Linked DNA regions of Lonchura striata. The protein of the gene in region 2 purifies or fractionates together with the protein of the main gene of each other region. This does not show direct contact. Links are inferred from orthologs where the notes say so. Each region holds a gene or a part of one and is shown on either strand. Other genes may lie near its edges.

Evidence for each region.
Region 1: the proteins of SIK2 (region 2) and PPP2R2C purify together in Homo sapiens (affinity purification with mass spectrometry; 3 studies listed by BioGRID and IntAct, counting the BioPlex papers as one, with this or other methods). This does not show direct contact. The link is inferred for Lonchura striata from reciprocal best matches to the Homo sapiens genes SIK2 and PPP2R2C.
Region 3: the proteins of SIK2 (region 2) and PPP2R2A purify together in Homo sapiens (affinity purification with mass spectrometry; 3 studies listed by BioGRID and IntAct, with this or other methods). This does not show direct contact. The link is inferred for Lonchura striata from reciprocal best matches to the Homo sapiens genes SIK2 and PPP2R2A.

What each region holds. Positions count from the first base shown.
Region 1 is NC_134606.1:12,003,888-12,011,723, reverse strand, and holds the start of PPP2R2C (protein phosphatase 2, regulatory subunit B, gamma), read right to left. Parts: upstream 3,046-7,836; 5' UTR 2,915-3,045; coding exon 2,872-2,914; intron 2,711-2,871; coding exon 2,630-2,710; intron 1-2,629. Other genes in the region: MAN2B2 (epididymis-specific alpha-mannosidase), read left to right, coding at 6,131-6,262. UniProt on the Homo sapiens protein: The B regulatory subunit might modulate substrate selectivity and catalytic activity, and might also direct the localization of the catalytic enzyme to a particular subcellular compartment.
Region 2 is NC_134625.1:9,393,198-9,400,644, forward strand, and holds the start of SIK2 (serine/threonine-protein kinase SIK2), read left to right. Parts: upstream 1-4,446; 5' UTR 4,447-5,608; coding exon 5,609-6,046; intron 6,047-6,135; coding exon 6,136-6,252; intron 6,253-7,447. UniProt on the Homo sapiens protein: Serine/threonine-protein kinase that plays a role in many biological processes such as fatty acid oxidation, autophagy, immune response or glucose metabolism.
Region 3 is NC_134634.1:2,457,852-2,465,843, reverse strand, and holds the start of PPP2R2A (serine/threonine-protein phosphatase 2A 55 kDa regulatory subunit B alpha isoform), read left to right. Parts: upstream 1-4,907; coding exon 4,908-5,016; intron 5,017-5,644; coding exon 5,645-5,719; intron 5,720-7,992. UniProt on the Homo sapiens protein: Substrate-recognition subunit of protein phosphatase 2A (PP2A) that plays a key role in cell cycle by controlling mitosis entry and exit. Involved in chromosome clustering during late mitosis by mediating dephosphorylation of MKI67.

The DNA.
Region 1 (7,836 bases), on a different chromosome or scaffold from region 2:
GCACTTAGACATTAATTATAGAAGTAGCAATATTTGAAATAGGATTTTGTTTCAAGGCAGCAAGACTAAATCAAACATGATTATCTTGGCTTTGATTGTGATATTTCACTTACTATGCTCTATTTTCCTTGCATTTGAAATATGCAATTTTTCTTTTCTGTTATGTAAATGAATGTTTTTCATCTAACATCTATTTTTGGAAAAAAAAAATTTTCTTTCCTAGGCTAAGACAGAAATGTTGCAGAACACAGCTCTGAAGTCTAACTGACAGAGTTAGAGTACTGCAAGGTCAATGCAAGCATTCAAAAACAAAAGCAGCAAGAGATGCCCAGAACACTAACTGAACTTATTAATATGCAAATGTTTATATACACAGATATCTATCTAGATATATAAATCACACTATAATATTTAATATAGATAAACTAGTCCTTTTGTCCATCAGTTGGGTGGAAAATATAGCTAACCAATGCAGTTGCAATTAAAAGTTGTGGCCTTTCTGAAAAGTAAAAAAGAACTGGGATAAAGAGAGAAAAAAAGTCTGTGATGGAAGTCATAGGAACAATCAATTTTAAACAAAAGATTCTGTCTAGCTCTGTGTAATTTACTTTACAGGCATACTTCAGCAAAGGAAAAGGTTTGGACTTCATCCAAAAACAGTGTCAAGCAAAAGAGGTCACGTCATCTGCCACCATGGACTTCTGTTTGAGCTATTTTTCACTTCTGCAAAGTCTGCTGATTATAGTACTCTGTGTGCACTTAGATATAAGTGGCATTAATACCCAGCATGTACTCTGGAAAAATGTCATATTTATATACAGTATATTATATTTATATGCAATATCTTATATTTATATACAATATATATTGTATATATAATTTATACACAATATATATTTATATACAATATAATATATATATGTCATATTTTTATACAATATATTAACATAAACAGGGTTTACTACCTGCAGATGACTTTGATTCTACAGGTTTTGTGATCAAATGACATTGCTTCAGTTTGTTTCCTGGTCTCTGAATTTCATCTATCTCCATGGTAAGTTAAGAGAAAACATTTAAGATTCCTATTTAAGTTGGGGAATAAAATTTGGAATCCAAAAATTGGCAATATTAAAGAGAACTGAAGTTAGGGTTAGCAAAGTAATTTAAAAGAATATGCCCTGTGAAAAGAGATGACCCAATAAATCAAAGGAATAAAACACCTGTTGAGAAAAAACATTATCATCTCAAAGCAGTGCTGAAACACTGGTATTTACCCAGACAAATGAGGTTAGGAAGCATATTCTACTCATTCAAATCTTTAAATGAAAGTAAATGCCAAACTAAAGCTCATTTTCAGCATTCTGTGATGCCTAAGAAATGCTGTCACTCACTCATTACACTCCCTCACACGGATATAATTTCCACCCCCATCTATCGTCATCACATCTGGTTTGGTATGCAGTTTCACCAAAAAAAAAATCACATAGGCAAAAATAAATCACAACATCTTTTGATAAATGCTTTAGTATGCAATTGTGTGTAATTACACACACTATTAAGTGCACCTTGAAATATAGGGACACCGCTCACCATGGAATAATAGGAAGGAAAAACTTAATCCAAAACCTTGGTCAAGCTACAGCTTATTATTAGTACCCTGGGGTTTAAATAATTTCTCCAAACAGCAAAATACAAGACACAAAACTTCAAACCATAAAGGATCACGGATAATAGCTGAAGAGACACCAAACAAGTAATCTTTCTGCCTGCCCCAAGGCTTTATCTCTTCAATGTATGTTTGTGAAACAAACATTAAATATCTCAAATGAATGGGATTTCATTATCTACCTAATTCCTATATTCCAGTGTTTCCCTGTTGTCAGCCTTTCCTTAATGTTGAATCTGAAGCCAATCTACTACAGGGTTCCACCTTCCTCCGTATTGGAAAGTTTTTCAGTCTAACTCAACTTCTGATGCATTTTAAACGTTTACAAAGGGTAAATACACTCTTCTTAGAAATCCATAACCCCAGCAGACCAAAAACATCAAGATGAGGTCTTAGTTCCACTTAACTCATTGACAACAGACACTGGAAGATGCTCATGGGCACAGCACACTACACATCTGGCATCCTGGAGGACACAGGTTCACACCTAAATTCAGATATTCTGCTTGTTCAAAATCATACACAGTGTGGTATGGTTGGTATGAGAGGCTTTCCTGTCCTGACACCCGAAGACAGTTCCTCTTCTGATCACAGAACATTAATAAATAAAACTTTCCAGGTGACTTCTTTCTTCAAAGTTAAAAGTGAAAAAAGGCCAGAAAACTTTTCAGTCCACTTTGCACCAACACCCACTGACACCAAGGTCAGAAGGTCTCATGCCATCTAAGCTGCTACACGTAAAAAAAACTTCCCCCCCGCCCGCCCCCGCAAAACAAAACGAGCCAAGGCACTTTACAAGGCCTGGAACATGCAAAGCACCGGCAGATACCCCTTTGCCGGCCCACCTCCACACCTGCCCTCGGGCACACCGCTGGGGCGGCTGCCAGCAGCGAGCCCCGCTTCCCCCCGCGGCCGGCCGGGCCAGCGGGCAGGGGACGCGCCCGCTCAGCATCCCGCACTCACCTTCGGAGACCTCGAGCTCGGCCGCTCCATTGAGCTGGCAGAGGCACCAGTCAGCCGCGCTCTGGCCGGGGGAGCCGCCGGCTGGGCAGGAGGAAAGGCACAGTCAGTCGGGCACAGAGCCAGCGGGGCACAGGGCTGAGGAAGGGACAGGGAAAGTGGCGGCGAGGGGGAGAAAAGAGAGCGGGGAGGAGAGATGGAGAGGGCTGAGCAGGGAGCGGAGGATGAGAGGGGACAGCGGGTACCGGGGGAAGGAGCGCGTTTCCAGATACCCTGTTTGTGGGACATGGGTGTCGCCCTCCGGAATGCGCCCGCTGCTCTGAACTGTTCTTTGCTTTGCTCCCAGCGCCCGCGGCTCGGGGCGCCTCCTCCTCCTCCCGGCGGAGCGGGCGCAGGCAGCCTCCGCTGCCTCGGGGTGCTCGGGGAGCCGGGGGAGGGAGGCCGGGGAGGAGGCAAGGCTCCGCCCGGAGCTCCCGGCGGAGGCGGCGCAGCCTCGCCCGGGCCGGCCGCGCCCGGCAGCGCCGGCCCCGAGGCGCGGGAGAGCCGCGGGGCCGCGGAGCGAGCCGAGCCCGGCCGCGGCGGCTTCGGCGGGGTGCGGTGCCGCAGCCCGGCCTTGCCCCGGCCAGGACAGCCCTCCCTGCTGCCCGTCCCGTTCCGTGTGCGCTCCCCGTCAGGTGCCGCCCGTGGCTGCGGTGCGGGCAGCCTGGCGAGCATGGGCGCGCATCCCGGCTGCCCCCAAGCCTGGACGCGCATCCCTGGCGGGGGACACCACACAGCAGGCACCCACTGCCAGTGGCACCCACTGCCAGTGGCACCCACTGCCAGTGGCACCCACTGCCGGTGGCCCTAGTGCCGCTCAGCCTCGCCACAGCTACGTTCGCCCCATAACATTGCCCTCAGTTCTCTTACCTAGGCCACTTGGGCTATCACTGATCAAGGCCACAAATGCCACATGAACAGTTGGGTTATATATGTACTGCAAGGCTGGAGAGTGGTTTTCCTCTGGTCCACGAGCCCCTGTGAATACACAAACTGTCTTTACAGCATCCCTGAGACGTTGGTAAAGAAAGCAAACCTGCTACCAAGTAAGTCTAAAGGGCTCTGTGCAGTGACCTTTGCCTTCAGTAGGAAATGGTTTGGGAAATGGAAAATTATAAAACACTGAAACAGTCAGCTAGAGCAAATATATGTTAATAAACGCCTTTATTCTTAGAGACTTCCACCCCAAAAACATGTCAGGAGAGAAATATAAAGGTACACATTAATTGCTCTGTTCACCAGGTGACTTTCTTGATACCTAATTTAAGACAATTGTGACTCTTAGCTTGTAGTTGGCAGCATCCTGCCCACGGCTTCTGTCTTATCAAGGTAACAGTGTCAGAGGCCCACGTATGGCACAGTTTGTGTCAAAAAGAGCAGCCACACTTCATATAGGCTAATGAGAAAAGCTTAAGAAAGAAGAGAGGAAGACTATAATGAAGCCATACTATGAGATTAGGAGCCAACAAGAGGATAAAGTATCGACATAGGCGGCTATCATGGCATGACTGCACTGGCTCCTCCATCTATCTTTTTGCTGTTTGTGAAGCAGTATGTAAGTGGCAGGGAAGAATTGTTTCCTGACATACCTTTCCACCTGACATACCATTCATCCCTTCTTGCAGCAAGTAGAACCCCTCCTGATACCTTCAGGTGTATGAACTGCGGGCAGTTTGATTCACATTCTTCTCCACTCTATCCAAGACAGAGGTGCAGTGTGGCCGTTGTGAAAGGATAAGGAGGACAATTACAGTTTCTGAAGGAAATAGATTTTAAATTGGAGTAACATTCAGCAAATATTCCCAGGTACTTTTAGCAACAAAGCAAAACACTGATATTTAAGCTTTCCTGGGAACTTCACCTAAATTACAAAGATAGTATTGCCTTCTGAGGTAAAAACACCAGTGTGTTTAGACAGTGTGTGTATATATATCTTCAAGCCATATGTTTGCTGGATGTGCACTAGCATTCTCGGAATTAACATGTTTATGCTGATGATTTGAGGGGGAAAAATGTATCATAGAGCTGTATTAAAGTAAAGCTTCATCCAGCTGCTTATAGTGGTACTAACTTCCCCTAAAAGTTACCTATAGACCTTGATTATTCTTCATGACAATGTATTATTATCAAAAATAAAACTGATATTAGCATTCTAATGTTAGCCTCTTATTTTCACAGAAAACTCTAAAACTCTTTGAAATAGCAAACAAAGGCCCTGTTCTGGGAGAATATATTCATATTAGATTTAAGTTTTATGGAATGTGGCCATTTTATTGCGTTCAACTCATTACTACTGATTTACATAAAGCGTTTTCCTTTCCATCTTCAATTATTTACAACAATTATTTAAAACTTTATATGTTAAAAAAAAACCCACCAAGTTTGGTATGTAAAGCAGCACATGTTTTTTTCTTTCTAGAATGACGAGATCAATACAAATTATGTGATCCTTTTTTACAGGTGTCTTGAGTATTGAGGTGGTTTAATTTGCACTAGGAGCCAGCTAGTCTGGCAGATGGACACTACTAAGCTATTTGTGATTGTTTCCTTCAATCACAGAGTGATGACTGGTTTAACTAGGTTTGGGATGTAATGCGTAATGCTAAATCCATACCAAACTTGAAGGTGGGAGCAGTTACCCTTCTCCATGTGATGTTCTATACTTTTGCACTGTTGGAAATGAGCGAGGACTTTGATATGACATTTTGTGTCATTTCAGAATTGCATTGTTGTTAAAAGTATGTGATTTAGTCAAACTAAAACTTAAGGAAAGTAGTTGATCTATACTATAGTGTATGTTTTTTAAAGAATCCAAGTTTAAAGAAATATAGTTTTATGTGTTTTGGCTTTCTATGTCACAATGATTTAATAGGCAGAAAGTGGTGCATCTGCTTACAAAAAAACTTCTGAGGAGACTGGACTACACTATGCGACAATATTTTTTGTTTGGGTTTGGATTTTTTCCTTTTTCACTAGGACTTTATGCAGTTCAAACAGAAGTGTTTACCTTTCCAGTCCTCAGCACAGGGTCCACCTGTTCCTAGCAGGAATCAGAAGGTCAACCACATAAAATTTAACCCTTCTTCAATTCCAAAACTTCAGAGATGCAGACAATAAGCCGTAATGAAGTACCATACCACGAAACAAAATTTCCTTTCAATTCAAAGGAAAACAAGAAATATTTATAGATGTCCAAGATGCAGAACTCAGCTTCTCCCCGAGCAGCCCAGCGTTACCCAAATTCCAGATACCCGAACTGGGTCCGGAATTCCCGCACAGGGGCGGCGCTTTCCGCCCGCCGCGCACCCGCAGCGCCGCTCGGGGCGCGGGCGGAGTCACCCCTCGGGCCTCGGAGCCTCCCGCTCCCCAGGAGACTCCTGCCCCTTCTTTTATTTATTTATTTGATTCCGGGCGGGGAGGCGGTGCCGCGGGACGCGGAAGTGCGGCGGGAGCGCCGCAGCGGCCATGGCTGCCCCGCGCATCCCGCTGCTCCCGCTGCTCCCGCTGCTCGCCCTCCTGCCGCGGGCCGGCGGCGAGCTGCGCGCCTTCGTGGTGGCCCACAGCCACATGGACGTCGGCTGGATTTACACGGTGCAGGTCGGCGGGGGCGCCGCACGGGCGGGGGAGGATGGCTGCGGCCGGGGCTGAGCCCGCAGGCAGGGCTGCCCGGAGCCGTGTAACGGGGCCGGGCGCGCCGCCGGCTCCCGGGGCGCGCCGCCGGCTCCCGGGGCGCGCCGCCGGCTCCCGGGGCGCGCCGCCGGCTCCCGGGGCGCGCCGCCGGCTCCCGGGGCGCGCCGCCGGCTCCCGGGGCGCGCCGCCGGCTCCCGGGGCGCGCCGCCGGCTCCCGGGGCGCGCCGCCGGCGGAGGCAGGCGCAGATCTTGGCCCGTGCAGCTCCTGCGCCGTGTCCGGCCTGGTGTGTCCGCCATCCCCCGGTGTTTCGGGATCCTCCGTCGGAGGAGGCGTGCTCAGCCTAGGAGCCCTGCCCTTGAGCTGTGGGTTTGTGTGTGCCTGTGTTCAGCAGGATACTCCTGATGGGGTTTTTTCTAAGGAAAGGCTTAATTCTGTGTGATGGAGCTTTGCTTATGTGGCAGATTTTCATGGTCTTTATGTTTATCTTGTTACAAAGCCAAAACCCCAGGGAAACCTTCTGTCATTTCTTAAGAGAGGAGAGCAAGATCCCAGGTCCTCGATGGCTGGGGTGAGGTTGGAGCCTAGCCTCTGAAGTACAGTAGCAAACTAATTTTTGCTAAATACATGAAATGAAGAGCAAAATTAGTCAGGTGGGGCCTGATACCTTTTACATTTGTTAGTCAATATCCTAATCCTGAATTCTTCTTTGTTACTATGAATTGTTTTCATTTGTGTGAAAGATGCTGCGAATACTTTACTCACTAGATTGAAATGGCATTAGGCCTAACTAATAAAAAAGAGCTAGCGTCTCACCCACTATTTCTGCTGTGCATGTATTTTGTCTCCCCTTTTTAGGAAAGATTAATTAATTTCTTCTCTAATACTTCAAACTCATACTTGGAAATTGCATAAGAGAGCACAAACCTGAAACTTCAAATCCTTAGTTAAAATTTCACATTGTTTTAAGTATCTAATAATCTGGATTTCAAAAAGCTCTTATGAACCAATGGGAAAACAATTGAGGAAGAAATTATTTACATAAAGCCATTCCTCCAACACTCAAATGTTTTTCTTTTTCTAGTGGTATGAGCATTTTTACAAAGGTGTGTTTGTGTTTTGGAAAGCAAGGGGCTAGGAAAAGTTAATTTCTGATTTGGATTACCTCATCTCCTTGTTTCAAATGGTAATTTTCATGTAGGAAATTTACCTAAATTGAAGCTCTGCATTCATGTTTTACATATGTCCATTGTTTTTTCAATTGGGAGAGATGTGTGTGTCAACCACTTTAGGATGTACATTTTGTGGTGAGTGTTCTTAAGTACCAGTAGTTTAACTAGATAAGTGTTATATGGTTAGTGTAGAATAACTGTCCAATAACATGCAGATAACTTTGTTACAAGGAAAGACAGACATCTGAGAAAATTCTAGGATGTTGGCTGTTGTCTTTAGACATTCTCAATCCCTTTAAAATTAAGTAAAAGATGGCAGACTGGATCTGGTCAACAAAAGTTGTTCTGGTCGAGGTAAGTGTGCAAAAGGT
Region 2 (7,447 bases):
GCTGGGTCCCGCCGCCGGTGCCGGTGTCACTGGCACTATCCCAGCGGGTCCCGCCGCCGGTGCCGGTGTCACCGGCCGGGTCCCGCCGCCGGTGCCGCGGCCGGCGCTGCCGGGGCGGGCCGCGGCCGCGCGGTTGCCATGGCGACGCCCCGCCCGCGGTGACGCGCGCGGTGACGCCGGTGGCGGCGGAGGGGGCGGCGCGGCCCCGGGGGCGCCGCGCGGAGCCCGAGCCGGAGCCGCCGCCGCCGCCCCCCGAGCCCAGCATGGTGATGGCCGAGCCGCGGCGGCCCCCGGCGCTGCTGCCCCGCGGGCTCGGGCCCGTCCGCGTCGGCTTCTACGACATCGAGGGCACGCTGGGCAAGGGCAACTTCGCGGTGGTGAAGCTGGCGCGGCACCGCATCACCCGCAGCGAGGTGGGCACGGCGCGGGGGGCGCGGCGGGGGCTGCGCGGGGCCGGCGCCGCTCCGCTCCGCTCCCTTCCGCGCCGCTTTTGTCCCTTCCGGCACCTCCCGCGGAGCCCCGGCCGCTGCCCCGGGGGGGTTCCCCCGCTCGCATCCTCCCGGGAAGGGCGGAACGCCCCCGGGGCCGCGGGGGGATGCCCGAGGATGTCACCCGCGGGATGTCACACCCCCCGACCTCCCCCTCCCGCCCCCGCTAAGGATGCCACCCGAAAGATGACACCCCCAGGATGTCACCCCCAGGGTGGTGGCATCAGCCCCGGGGTGGTGGCATCGCTGCCGGGATGGCACCGCGAGGATGCTCCGGTGCTGCTCCAGCAGCACTTTCTGCTCCCTGGGAAGGGTCAAACCTTGTGCTGTGCCTGCCGCCGTGCCCCGGGTATTTTCGGGTTTCCTGACCTGGGCAATGCTGGGTTATCTGTTTCAGCAGTGTGTGTGTGTGTGTGTGTGTGTGCTGAATTCTTCACGGCATCCTCCAAGTTCACCAAATCCAACCATTTTTAGCCTCTTTTGTTCAACCGCCCCCGTGTATTACCCGGTGATTATTATTAATACCTGGCGCTTTACCTAAAACAAAAATGATTGTCGGTCTGCCTGGGTAAAAATGTAGTCGTGTTCACTTTAAAAAAAAAAAAAAAAGAAAAAAGAAAAAGGAGGTATTTGATGAGAGTAATGGCTCTGAAGGATCAGCTTCCTCTTCTGCCTTGTTTTAGGTAGTTTTAGTTGCTACACCTAGAGGTGAGCTTTTTGTAAGGCTCTCTTCTGGTGGCTTTCATTGTTGACTGAAGAAGAGGTTCCTGGCTGCTCTGTCCCTGGCCAAAGTCACTCAAACGCTGTCCCAAGGCCTGCAGGTATTCACCACCGTGGGCTCGGAGGGGAAAATCCTAAAATCCTAAAATCATCCCTTCAGGAATGGCAGCATGCCCTGAAAGCTGCAGCCCAGCTGAGGACAGCAAACCCCGGGTGCTAACAGGGCTGAGCTCTGCGTGGCAGGGACTGGCAGAAACTTCTCCTTTTGCCTCATTTCTCAAGTTCATCCTAAACTCGGTTCTTCCTGAGCCCTTCCTCGCTCCTGCTGAAGAGCCAAGCAGCGCCAGCCTTCCCCTTCCCAAGTTTGGTGCCATGGGCCAGAATTGCAAATGCTCCACTTGAAGATACTCGCTTGTCATTGCTCTGCAGCCCTCATTTCTTTTTGGCAGGCTTTGTGGTGGAGATGAAAACTTTAATCTTGGTTTTTATTGTCCTTTTAGAAAGCCTGTTTGTTTAGCATTGTTCGAAATAACAAAGGTTGCAGAAAGCACAGAGCTTAAAAGCTCCCCGATTCCTGGATGCTTCTTTCATCTGTGTCCTAAGGAACTGCTGAATTCTCTTAGTCTTCAAATATTTTTTAACCAGCTTTTCTGTCCAGCCTGCAGCCTTTTTATCTTCTGGGGGATTTTTACAGCAAATTTGCCCGTGTTGGAGGACTTTTTGTCAAGGTCTTTGATTTTTTGAGTCAGCTCTGACTTCTGCAGGGAGAGATGCAGGAGTGTTTTTCTGGAACTGAATTGCTGAGTTGGTTGCTGGAAGTATTTACACAATCTTTGAGGAAGGGGAACCCTGTTAAGATCACTTCTGGTGATGTCAGAGGAAATAAATTCCAGCCAAATACTCTTTGGAATAAGCACTTCCAGCTTGGAGCAGCTCACCTGATTGTTGGACCCCTGAGCACACAGAGTGGAAATCCTGCTTGTTAATGACTCCAGACTGAAGGGTTTTCATATTTCAAACTTCTTCTAAACTGTTGCTTAAGTTCCAGTGGAAGAATATTCAGTTTTTAGGTTCTGGTGCACCCTCAGGTCTGTGCTACAGGAGGATGCTGTGATGCTGCTGAGACTTGCTCAAAAAACCTGTTTTAAAAGGACTCCTTGTCAAAGTTTCTCCTGAATCTCCTGATTTCAACCCTTTACATTCAGAACCTGTTTGTTGTTGGGCTTTTCCAGCGCTGGCATTTTGAAATTGTGTTTGATATGATTTTGACCTTTGAAATATTTGCCTTTTTATTTTTTAATGCAACTCTAGCCAATAACCATCCAATTAAAAAAGATGGGCTCTAATTACCTTGAATGCAGCACTTATGGATTGTGTAAAATCCATCCTTTTTATGGAAAGACTGCAGGTGAGGAGATAAAATTGTTGCCATAAATTGTTAGCAGAGGTGGGAATGAAATGAAAACACGAAGCAGGAGAGCAGCACAGGGTGTGTGCAAACGAAATCAGAAATCAAAATTTGAATTCATGCAAGTTCTGAACAACCGCACAGAAGCGTGAAAGTTGGGAAAAATGGGGGGATTAATAAATTTATCAGGTGATAAAGATGTCAGGAATAAATAAATTAAATAAGGATATGCAGGAATAGAGGTGCTGCCTGACCCTTTTTACTGCCAGTCCACCCAGGGGGGCTGAACCCGACCTTTGCTTGTCTTTTTTGGGGTTTTTGGTGCCATTTGAGTGGAGGGCACGTGGCTTTTTTGCTGCCACGCTCCTTTCTTGATGCTGCTGCCCAGAAATCCTGTGATCCCAGGGCAGCTCCTGCTAATGAGGCGTGGAAATGAGCCGAGATTTTCCTGGGGAGGACGGAGAGGAGGGAAGGGGAATAATTGGTGGCGTCAAAGTTGGAGGAGATGGAGATTTGCTTCCACTGAAATGGGATGGGAGTGGAATAAGGGAAAGGTTTGGAATGTAGGGAATAGGGGAAAGGTTTGGAGTAGGTGAAGGTGCTGCTTGGAAAAAGCAGGAATTTGGGAACACACCCCTAAAAGCCTTAATTAACCCCCCCTAAGGATTAATCCCCTGCAGAGGAACTCTGCTCGCTGCTCCCTAGGGGAAAACAAAACCTGGCTCTCCCTGTGCCTCCCAGATGTGCTTCCACCTGGCTGCTGTTACAGCGAATTTCTATTTTTCTTTGAGAAAAAAAAAAAAAAAAAAAAAAAAAAAAAAAAGAAAAAAGAAAAATGACCCTGCAGCCCCTGATTTGATCTGTGGCAGCAGTTCGGGTGAGCTCAGGTATTTGCAAAGTGAGTAACTCCAGCAGAGTCAGCAGCTCCCTGCGCTGCGCAACAAAACACGGAGTTTTTCCAGACTGCAGGAAGTTGTGGTTGTTAGTTTTAATGCATTTTATCTATTTTAAGAATGCACTGGGTTAACAAATCCGAATTTCTGTAACCTGCAGGGACAAAGCTCTGTTTGAATGTGAACTTGTAGCGGGAGGTTGTGTTGTGGTTTTGGTTTTTTTTGCTTTTTTGCCTTTGTTTTCCCTTTCAAGAATTAAAGGAACGAAACAAAAACAATGAAAACTGACATTTGGAGTAGCTGAGGAGCAGCAGCAGCAGAACTTTCATCTTTTCTTGACAAGCATTTCATCCTCCCTCCTTGGCAGTTGCAATTCCCAGATGTCAGGGCAGGATTGAGCAAACTCCAATTCCCTGGGCCTCCAGTGGAAGAGGGAAGGAAATAAGTGCAGTTCCTTGTATTTTAAAATGGTTTTTGTATTTTAAAAACCACAAAAGCTGCAAAAATATCTTGGAATGTAACTCCTTAAGCAGCAAAATCTGGTGACAGGCAGAGATCAGGGATTTTTTGGCTTTCCTTCTCAGGTGAAAGATGTGCTGACATTATATATTGAAATTTGGGGTTTTTTTGTTGTTTATTTCGAGCTGTTGCCAGTAGTTTTTGGCAAGCTGCATGTTTAGGAACAAAACACACTTTTCAGATAGGAAACTGCTCCGTGGCTTGAAGGAGCTTCTCCACCTCTAAGAATTACATCCCTTTTCCTGTCATCAAGAGACAGCTGAGCTCATGGACAAAAAGGAGCTGCTGAATTCCCTGTTCCTGCTCACATCCTTGGGAAGATTTTGCTGGATTTTAAGTATTTTCAAGTGGTTCTTCTGTAAAATCTTCCCTGCTCCTGGCAAGATGAAGATGCAGAGCGAGCTGAGGTATTAAATCTGCATTTGAGTGGAGGAGCTGCTGCTCTCCTGTGGTATATATATATATATATTTTATGGACATATTTCATGCACACTGGAAGTTGTGCATTTTCCTGGGAGTTGGGGAAAGACTGGGGACTTTTAAAGAGGGAAAACCAGAGTGAGCTGAAGTCAATAAATAGTTAATTGTGAACTCAGGAGGGCCCATAATCAGTGTTGGAGCAGATAATGAGGTTCACCTCCCATGGATTTCCTGTGCAGCAGCTCTCCCATGTTCAATAGTTTGTATATATGGTTTGTATATAATAATTCTGCTATAATTGGAATTATTAGTGGGACTTGCACTGTTTGCTCCTGCTTCAGCATTAATAAAGTGACATTCAGGGTGAGCAAGCACCATTTGTATATTCAACACTCTTTAACATTTTTACCCTTTGCAGGGGTTGTATTTTCACTTTCTTCTTGGTTTCAATTTTAAATGTCTTCTGTTGGAGCTTTTTAGTTCCCCTCAGCATCTCGAGTGATCTTCCCTTTTCATTTATTGGCTAAAAAACAAGGTCAGCAGGGCCAGGATGTGTTTTGTGAATTAATTGAGATGTGTTTGCAAGGTTTGACTGGTAAATTCATCTGCAGAGTTTTTATCTCTGAAGGGATGAACTGCAGATACCCTTTCATAATAACATACGAATTAATTAAATATGCCACAGCTGCAAGTGCCTGGAGCCCCTAGGTTTGGACTGTTTGTGTGGAGCCAACACAAGAATTTTAAGTTTTTCATATAAAATATCCTTTTGTGGGACTCTGATTTGTCACCTTGACTCCTGAAATGGGCACCACGGAGATTTTTGGGGAGATGTTGCTCACTGCAAATTCCTGATTGAAGAACACCTGGAGCACTGACCTCCCTCACCTGTCCTGTGCCTTCCATTCTATGGAAAACCTGCTTTTTCTCATAGAAAAACAACTTTTACTCCTAGAAAACCTACTTTTACTCACGAAAAACCTGCTTTTACTCAAGGAAAATCTGCTTTTTCTCATTGAAAACCTACTTTTACTCACGAAAAACCTGCTTTTACTCAAGGAAAACCTGCTTTTACTCATAGAAAACCTACTTTTAACTCATGGAAAACCTGCTTTTTCTCATAGAAAACCTACTTTTACTCATGGAAAACCTGTTTAGTCATGGAGATCCTACTTTTACTCATGGAAAACTTGCTTTTACTCATGAAAAACCTGCTTTTACTCATTGAAAACGTACTTTTACTCACGGAAAACCTGCTTTTTCTCATAGAAAACCTAATTTTTCTCATGGAAAACCTGCTTTTTCTCATAGAAAAACTACTTTTACTCATGGAAAACCTATTTTTACTCATGGAAAACCTACTTTTACTCATGAGAAACCTGCTTTTTCTCATAGAAAACCTGATTTTTCTCATGGAAAACCTGCTTTTTCTCATAGAAAAACAACTTATACTCATAGAAAACCTACTTTTGCTCATGGAAAACCTGCTTTTCCTCACATGCTGGTGTGGGTGGGAGCCCTGCAGCCCCTCCGAGGGACCCCAGCCACTTTCAGTGCTGCCCTGCTCTATTTTCCACTCAGGGATTTGCAGCCTCCAGGTACCCGGGGCTGCATTATTCCCTTTTCAATGAGGGTCAGCTCACCTTGGGGGAGTTTTTAAACCTCATTTTTCCCTCTTGCTCTGCAGGTGGCAATAAAAATCATCGACAAATCTCAGCTGGATGCTGTGAACCTGGAGAAGATCTACAGGGAGGTGCAGATAATGAAGATGCTCGACCACCCACACATCATAAAACTCTACCAGGTAGGCTTAGAGGGGCTTTTCCCCTTTTTTCCCCCTTTTTTCCTCCTTTTTTCCCCCTTCTTTCCCCCTTTTTCCCCCCCTTTTTTCCCCTTTTTCTCCCTTTTTCCCCTTTTTTCCTCCTTTTTTCCCCCTTTTTTCCCCCTTTTTTCCCCTTTTCCCCCTTTTTTCCCCTTTTTCCCCTTTTTCCCCTTTTCCCCCCTTTTTTCCCCCCTTTCCCCCCCTCTTCCCCCCCTTTTTCCCCCACTTTTTCCCCGCTTTTTTTCTCCCTTTTCCCCCTTTTTTCCCCCTTTTTTCCCCCTTTTTTCCCCCTTTTTTCCCCCTTTCCCCCCGCTTTTTTCCCCCTTTTCCCCCCCCTTTTTTCCCCCCCTTTTCCCCCCCCACCTTTTTCCCTGCTTTTTTTTCCCCCCTTTTATTTCCCCCTTTTTATTTCCCCCCTTTTATTTCCCCTTTTTTTCTCCCCCCTTTTTTCCACCCTTTTCTTCCCCCTTTTTCCCCCTCTTAGTTCAGCTAAACAAAAATGAATATCCCAGTTAAGACCAGTTCAACCTTAAATTAATTCTATGCACAAGAAGCTGGCCTTTAAAATATTTTAAAAACAAAAGGGTTTCAATTTAAAAGATAAAACTGGTTTAAAATATCGATGTAGCAGGTAGAGATGGAGCTCAAGGAGTTAAATTTGCAATTGCCTCGATAATATCTCCCCTCAGTTCCTTTCTGAATGAATGACACCACAGAAAAGTGGCAGGGGAGAGAGTGAGAATATTGAAATTATGACTGAAAATCAGCAGGGAGGGTGGTGCTCACTCCTCTGCTTAAAAATGCATTTGATAAATGAATTTATTTTAAAAATAGCCTTCAAATTGTCTACCTGCTTTGCTTTTATTTGTGAGCAGCCTCTTGGGACTTTCAGGCCAGTTAAGAAATAAAATGCAAAATCAAATTCACAAAGCTCTTGCCCACGGACGAGTTCAGCTGATGCTGAAACGTTTCTCTGAGGTTATTGAAATAAACTCAAAATACATTGGAATTTCTCTGAGGTTTTTGAAATCAACCCAATAAAAATACTTGGGAATTGTTGTCCTGAAATCTGAAATGGCTTTTTGAAGTGGAGGATTGTGATAATTCCACGTGTGAGGCAGAACTTCCCCAGCTTTAGGAGAGATCCATAAAAATAAAGATCCATAAAAATAAAAAT
Region 3 (7,992 bases), on a different chromosome or scaffold from region 2:
GTTGTTCTAACTTCCACAGCTCCTGGTCTAGGCTGCTGTGAACCGACTGCTCTTTATGTACTTTTCTGACAAATATCACAGCAAATAGATGCAGAAATGCTGTTTTTTGAGTCCTTGTTCCTGTAAGTTCCTCCCACTTCCCAGAGGTCATCTTCAGTCTCAGCTGAAGGAGTTTTTGTATAGAGTAAGAATTAGTCATTAAAGCATGATGGGAGTAGATAAATGCCCATTAAAGCTTTGTGCTGTTGGAGGCTGTGTATAAATTTAACACCATACAGTTACAATCTCCCCAGAGCACCTCAACAAATGCTCAAGCTCCAGAAAAATCCAGGTGTGTGCTCACAAGCTTTGAATCAGGGCTATGGAACACACACTGCCTAATTTGAACCAATCATTCATAGCGTGAACCTCTGAACTACCAAGCAAGTGAACACCCAGGCAAAGGTTGTGGTTCCCAAGATGTCTCACTAATTGCTATGGCTGTAATTTAATGTTATTTATTTATTACGCTCCACTATTTTCTGTAGCTGTTGGTTCACAACAAAAAACTGAAGTGTTTGAGTTACAATCCATCCTCCTAGCACCATGATATTCAATATTTTCTAAGAGAAATTTTATTGTAATTATAAGCTTTCTACTAAGGCTTCATTAATTTCTCTTACAGAGCTAATTGCAGGTCTCTTTGCCATATTTAATTTTTTTTAACAACAAAAGTTCTTGAACCAAGGCTTATTCTGCTATGAGTACAAATTCTGCAGTAATTATACAAAAGACAATGGATGGATTGGACTAGATCTGCAAATTTTCCTGCTAAACAGTTGCAGGACAATTCTGCTTACGTTGAAAAGAGTATGTTTAAAGAATTAATTTAATTTATTAATTAAATTCAGAATTTAAAGAATTCTGAAAAGAGAGGAATGCCAGCTTTCTTGCTGAATTTGGTATAAAGTAAACATGGCCACAAATTTGTAGAATTGAGTGAATTTGCTCTTGAGCTATGGGAAATGTGGACTGGGATGCTTGGGACCAGGGAGTTTGTTTTCGTTGTGATTGTTTCCAAACTTGCAGTGTTTTTGGGTTGCTCTCAAAACAACCCAAGCAAAACACTTGGTTACAGAGATTTCCAAACCTGGGTAAGTTGCAATTCTTTAGAACATCCCATATATGCTGAATGTTCTTTCAAATGTTATTGTTATTTCCAAGATTGATTTATTTGCCTGTGCAATTTTTTTTCTATCATGGATGCAGAGACAAATCAGAATTCCAAAATAACTTGTAATTTGGGCCAGCTGTGGGTTTCTGGTGGCAGCCTGTCTTTTTGTATTCATTTGTGGTATTTAGTTCCTACAGCTCTGTTTCATGGTGGACTTGACAAGCAATTCAATGGTCTTTTCATTTATAAAAGCATCCTCTTAGGTGTTCAGAGATGGAAATGTAGAAATCAGTGTATGGGAGGGTTTTGGAGGCTTGTTCCAAGTCACATTTCAAGTTTGTGGTAGCGCTGGGTTTGCAGGATGAGCTTATGAATCTCCAAGTGAAATCTGGATTAGCAAGATCTACCCAGCCCAAGAAGAATATGTTTGCACAAACATCTTTTAAGGGAAACTGATGACTTTCACAAGATCTTAAATAGATTGTACTGAATTAATTATCCCAGTCCTGTAGTTAACTACAGATGAGACAGTAACTGGGACCCAGCAAGCTAAAAAGGAGCCTCCATCCCTCCCAAGCCAGCAGGAGCTGAGCCAAGCTGGGCTCGGCTGAAAGCCTTTCTTTGTGGATCTTGCTGGCTGTCAGTGTGAAAGGTGGATGGAGGCTAAAAATGGCTCAGGAGCATGGCCGGTGTATGCAGGGAATAGCAATGAGAACAGAGTGAAATCAGAGACCGAGCCCTGGACGTTGTGGAAAGCATCCAAGGGGGTGGAAAATGTGCAAGCAAACAGGTTCTGTGTGCCTGCTGCACGGGCAAATGGCAGGAGGGAGCAAAGGGAAGAGAGGGGGGAAAACACCAAAACCAAAGCACAAGCGAAAGGGAGATGATCTCAGAAATTCAAAGAGAAGGAAATCAGAAGCCTGAAAATAATCTTTCCAGAAAAGATGAAATATCTCAGAATGAGAAGTCCTGGAATAAAGTACAGTTTGCATTTTTTGCTTGCTTTAAATTCTTCCCTGAAGGATTACAGACATGCAAGATGCACAACCTGAGGGATTATCAGGGAAATGTTCTTCACCCTGTAGGGAATGGGCACGGCCCAAGGCCGCCAGAGCTCCAGGAGCGTTTGAACAGCACTCCCAGGGATGCAGAGTGGGATTTTGTGGTATCTCTGCCGGGCCAGCAGCTGGATCGATGATCCTGGTGGATGCTTCCCAACCAGCTCAGGATATTCGGCTTCATGAAGGGCGAGCCTGCGGGAGAGGGGTCAAGGAAGGAAGCTGTTCCTGCAGGGGAGTCCGGGCGGCGGTGGTGGCGGACACCGCAGCACGGAGGGGCTGGGAGCGGGCGATGGCGGCGGCCCCTCCATGAGGGCGGGCAGGGGCCGCGCTGAGGGGCGGCAGTCCCCCCGTGGAGGCGGCCGATCGCTCCAGCCTGAGGGGCGGTAACACCTCCATGAGAGCGGGCAGGGGCCGCGCTGAGGGGCGGCAGTCCCCCCGTGGAGGCGGCCGATCGCTCCAGCCTGAGGGGCGGTAACACCTCCATGAGGGCGGGCGGGGGCTGAGCCGAGCGAGGGTCGTTAGCCCCGCCATGAGGGACACAGCCTCACCATGGGGGTGACTGACGCCGCGCTGAAGGGCGAGTGGAACCGGGCTGAGGGCGGCCGATCGCTGCCGAGCTGAAGCAGCGGCACCCCCGCCATGAGGGCTAACAGGAGCCAGGCACGGACATGGCGGCACCGCCCGCCCTCCTGAGGGCGGCTCGCTCCCGCCCCGCGCTGACGTCACCCCCAGCTCTGCCGGCGCCATCTTGGACGCTCATCGCCGGGGGGGCCGGAGCGGGGCCGCCCCAGCCCCGCCGCGGCCGCCGCCGCCTCCTCCTCCTCCTCCTCCTCCTCCTCCTCCATCCGCCGCCATCGCCGCCCGCCGCCGCCGCCCGCCCCGCGCCGCCCGCCCCGCCCGCGCCGCCCGCTCCGCCCGACCCGCCGCGGCCGCTATCGCCAGCACAACATGGCAGGTAAGGGCAGCCTGCCCCCCTGCCCCGGCGTGGCTCGGGGGACTCTCCCCGCTGCCTCCCGGGCCGCCTCTCCTATTCCGACTCGCTTGCGCCTTGCTGGTTGTGGGGTGGCTTTTTTTTTTTTTTTTTTTTTTTTTTTTTTTAGCCTCTCGTGTGGGAATTCGTGCTTTGCTCCCACCCACCCCTCCTTCCCTCCGTTCCCCGGGAAAAGAAAAAAAAAAAAAAAAACATGGAAGAAGCAAGGTGGAGCGGGAAGTGGTGTGTTTTGGAGTTGAGCTTGCAGGCAGGGTGGGTCTGCTGCCTTTTCGTAGAATCATGGAGTGATTTGGGTGGGAAGGGACCTTAAAACCGGTCCAGTTCCACACCCTGGCATGGGCAGGGGCACCTTCTGCTATCCCAGGTTGCTCTGAGCCTCATCCAGCCTGGCCTTAGACAATTCCAGGGATCCAGGGACAGCCACAGCTGCTCTGGGTAACCTGTGCCAGGGCCTCCCCACCCTCAGAGGGAAGAATTACTTCGCAATATCCCAGCTCAACCTACTCTTTCAGTTTGAACCCATTCCCCCTTGTCCTGTCACCACATGCTCTGGTAAAGAGTTTCCCCCTTGAGGCTTTAGGGTCGGTGCTTGTAGTTATTTCTCTGCCGTGTACAGAGAGGTTCCAGGTGCAGGCGGTGTCCAGATTGCAGTCGCACCCTTCTGTAGGGAGCAGCCTCTGAGCATCTGTAAATGCCACTGAAATTTGGCACAGGGTGTGATTAAACAGCACAGGTCTCGCCGTGTTTTCTTTCCCATTCCTTCCTCTGCTTACTCCCCATTTCACATCCCCAAGTGCTGTTGGTAGGCTTGGGAATGTGTGTGCAGAAAGGATCTCTTCCCTCTTACTTTTCCTTGCATTTTCTTCATTTGGAAATGTATTCATCCCCCTCCTCTGCACGTGAATTGTCTTTTCAGTGCTTTGCATGTGGAGGAGCAAAGCATGGGAGGCTTTGTGAGGCATGTGCTTTGCCTTTCCCCCCTACACCATATGCACATGCTCCACCCTCCTCTTGCCGTTTTAGTCGTGGGGGGGGGAAAGTGCCAACTTGGTTCAAGTAAATTTTATGGAAAAGAGCTCGAAGAAGCAGGAGCAGTGATTCTCTCCGAGCTGTTCCCTTTAAGTGCTGCTATGGTGCCAGCCGCTAAATGACAAACGAAGAAGTTGAAGAGAAGAAAATGGGTTGTAGGATTTTGGGGGAATGATGGGAGGAGGGAAAGCATTTTGCCATCTCCTGCATAGATGGGTTCTGTTGCTTGCTTTCACCTCCTCAGGTTGTGCATCTTGGATGTCTGTAATCCTTCAAGGAAGAATTTAAAGCAAGCAAAAAATGCAAACTGTACTTTATTCCAGGACTTCTCATTCTGAGATATTTCATCTTTTCTGGAAAGATTATTTTCAGGCCTCTGATTTCCTTCTCTCTGAGTTTTTTTGCTCCCCTTAACTTGGGAAGAGTCTCCTCCTGTATTCTTTGTTATCTCCAAAGCCCTACCAGAGCTCGGGATTAATGTGTAAATGCCATCTGTTGCTCAGCCGGTTTGAGTTGTGTGGAGGAAAAGTTCCATTTTGACAGTGGCTTTTGGGAAAAAAAAAAAAAAAAAAAAACCAACAAAAAAACCAACCAACCGAGGCAAGCCCATTTCTGGCTCTTCCTGTATGTCCTCAGCCCTGCAGTGATTTGCTCAGAATGAAATGCAAAAGAAATGGGTGGTGATTTTTGGTGTGTGTTTTTGTGGCACGGTTCAAATGAATCACTGCCTTCAGCCGAGGCAGTAATGTTCCTGAAGTTTTCTCTCCGATCCGTTTTCTATGGTAGTAGAATTTGTCCCCCTCCGATTGCTTGTTTGCTTTTCTGCTCGGATTTGCTGCTTTTTTTTTTAGGCTGATAATTGCTTTCATTACTTCTGCGAAGAGACTCTAAAATTGTGGTAAAATTCTTTTTCTTTAGCCTTGAGTGCTTAGGGTCGGTGCAGTAGGTTTGTGAAAGGAGGAAATGAATTGTGTGCTTGGTTTGTATTGGACAGGAGATTGAAATTTTTTAAAAAAGCACAGCTCTGATAGTTGATATTTAAGCTGTTTGTGTGTGTGTGTGTTTAGGGGGGTTCTGACTCCTCGAGTAGGAAAAAGTTTTGTGTGAAACACAGCAGTTCCTGCACTTGAATTTTAAATTCGTAGTTGATGGTGCTTAGTCCAGCAAGCTTTGAGTGAGTGAAGCTTTTACACTGGTTGTGCTTCCCTGTTTTTGACAAACAGTGCATTGAAGGCTGACAAAAACAATATCCAAAGGAAAAAGGTGGGGAGGGTGGTGTGTGATTGTGCCTCAGCACTGCTGAGGAAGTGGGCGTGCACAGGCTCTGAAATGTGCAATCTGGAGCCATTGTGTGCTTGTGCTGCTGCTCTTGGGGGGGCTCGTTTTTATTGAATTGTTTTCAATTTTCAGGAGCTGGAGGAGGAAATGACATTCAGTGGTGTTTTTCTCAGGTGAAAGGCGCTGTAGATGATGATGTAGCAGAAGGTAAGAGTAATACTTTTTACTGTTTTCTAACTTTTTAACCATTCCTTAGGTGGGGAGATGTGAATGCAGTCAGTAAAATATCCCAGTGCTGCTAAGTGCTCGTTGAGCAAAGCAAATGGACATTTCATATGTATTCCCATATCCAGATTCAGGTTTAAACTGTGATTTGAAAGTACCATTCAGCATTCTTGTAAAAAAGTTCAGGCTTCCTAAGTTATTTTTGCTGGAATTGTTTTCTAACATTGCTAAGATTTTTCTGATTTTTTGGCTTTTGACTTGTGTTTTTTCTTAATCTTCAAAATGGGGAATGTGTTACTTAAATTCCACAAGGAGGTGTTGTTAGAATTAATATTTGTACTCTTTGAAGATCTAAGTACTGCATGAAGGAATTGTCCCAACATTTCTAGCTCCTATTAACAAGAGGCAGAAGAAATCTGCGTATTTGTGCATGCCTACTTAGTATATAAGGAGCAGGTTTGGGTTTGAAATAATGCTGAAAATTGTCTGAAACTTTTCCAAGCTGCCAGTGACAAGTGTCATGTTACACTAAGATGGCTGCCTCTGAATTTCACTGCAAAAACTACTGTTTGGGCTTTTTTCCCTTGGATTTTGGATCATTGGAGGAATGATGCTTTTTTCTGTGCTGGAGAGCAGAATCTCTTCTGTGATCATTCCCGAGGAGAGGTCCCCTGACTTCTGAATTTCTTTGGCCATAAAGTCCTGTTTGCAACAAAGCAGCTTTTAAGATCATGAGTTAAAAGTTTTCTTTTGCAAGTAGTTGGCCTTGTCACTTATGTAATTCCTGTTTTTTTTTATTTTTCTTGCATATCTTGAATGCTCTGACATAGAAGTGAGATTAATGTTATATTTAGAAAAGCAGTAACTACAGTTTCCATTATTTCCCTGCTTGACATGTGGTTCAGATTAGCTTCCAAAGGCCAAAAGAAAAGATTGGTATAAACATAACTGAGTTGTTTTTATTTATTAGCTGCAGCATGTGGCAAACGATGCACTGAGGCTTCTGTTGTTTGCAAGTTGAAATATGTTTTTTGGAAATGAGAAAGCTGTACAGTTTCAAGTTTATTTTTAAATTCTTCAGGAAGTAGATTTTAAAGCTTGAACTCAAAGTGCTGTTAAATGTGGTATATTTTTTTTCCCTGACAGATTTAAAATTTTGTAACCTTTGTTTTATTTATGTATCATACTAAATCCTTAATAAATACAAGTATTGAAGAAGTTGTGGTTGTGGTGAAGTTGTGGTGCTTGCAAATAATTCTTCATTAAAATAGACGTTGGTATGCTTCTAGTAGTAATGAACTTATATATAGGTATAGAAAAGTAGTCTTTACAGGGATTTGGAAATGTAGAAGTGAGGAAATAGGAAGGAAGGACAGGCTGAGCTGTTTTAAGTGTTGCACTTGGTGTTATGAAAGGTGCCTTGCCAGCCTTGTGCCTCCTGCCAGGCTGGGAGCTGCGCTGAGCATTGCTGGAATCCCGGGGTGGACTTCTGGGAAGCCTTTGAGGGAATTAACTGGCTTCAGTTTCAGCAAGCCAGGCAGCTTGGTTCCTGCAGCATTGTAAGAATCTCCATTTTTTGGGTTATAGACAGTGTAGCCTTCTGATTCTGTGACCCAAAGAGTGAAAAGAAATTTTCTTTCATTGTCAGCTATACCTGACTTAGAATGAGTCTTGAGGTCCAAAGTGTATTATACTGTAAGATGGTGTGAAACTGAACTGCCTAGGGAGAGATCCCAAGTATTATTGATGGTGTGCTTGGCTGTAATTAGTGTGTTGAACTGAATTTCTCTCCTGTTCCCATGTATTTGGCTCCCACAGTCCATGCTGGAAGTTGGTGAAAGCAGTTGTTTATATTGATTTGTTGTACATCATAATGCCTCGCTGTAATTCTGTTGGAAGCGTTATGTATCAGGATGGTTGCATTTGTCCTTTTCCTAGTGATATTTCTGGCTTTAAGGTTCATATCAGTGACCTGGAGCCTTGTGTGGCTCTTGCACCAACTGGAGCAGCAGCCTCTGGTCTTTTGGAATACCCAGTGACAAACTGGCAGTGGGTGCAAGTGCAGTCTGAGAACCTTTTTAATTCCCTGCCTTTCCTTCTGCTTTCTTGGGCCAGGCCAACTGTGAAAGCTCAAGGAAATCTTACTGTCTCAAGCTTTAATGACTCTTTAACCACTCTGATCTGCCAGAGAGCAGCTCTGGACTCCAGTCATGCCTGTGGTGAGCACAGTACCAATTTGTGTACAGGAGTACAAG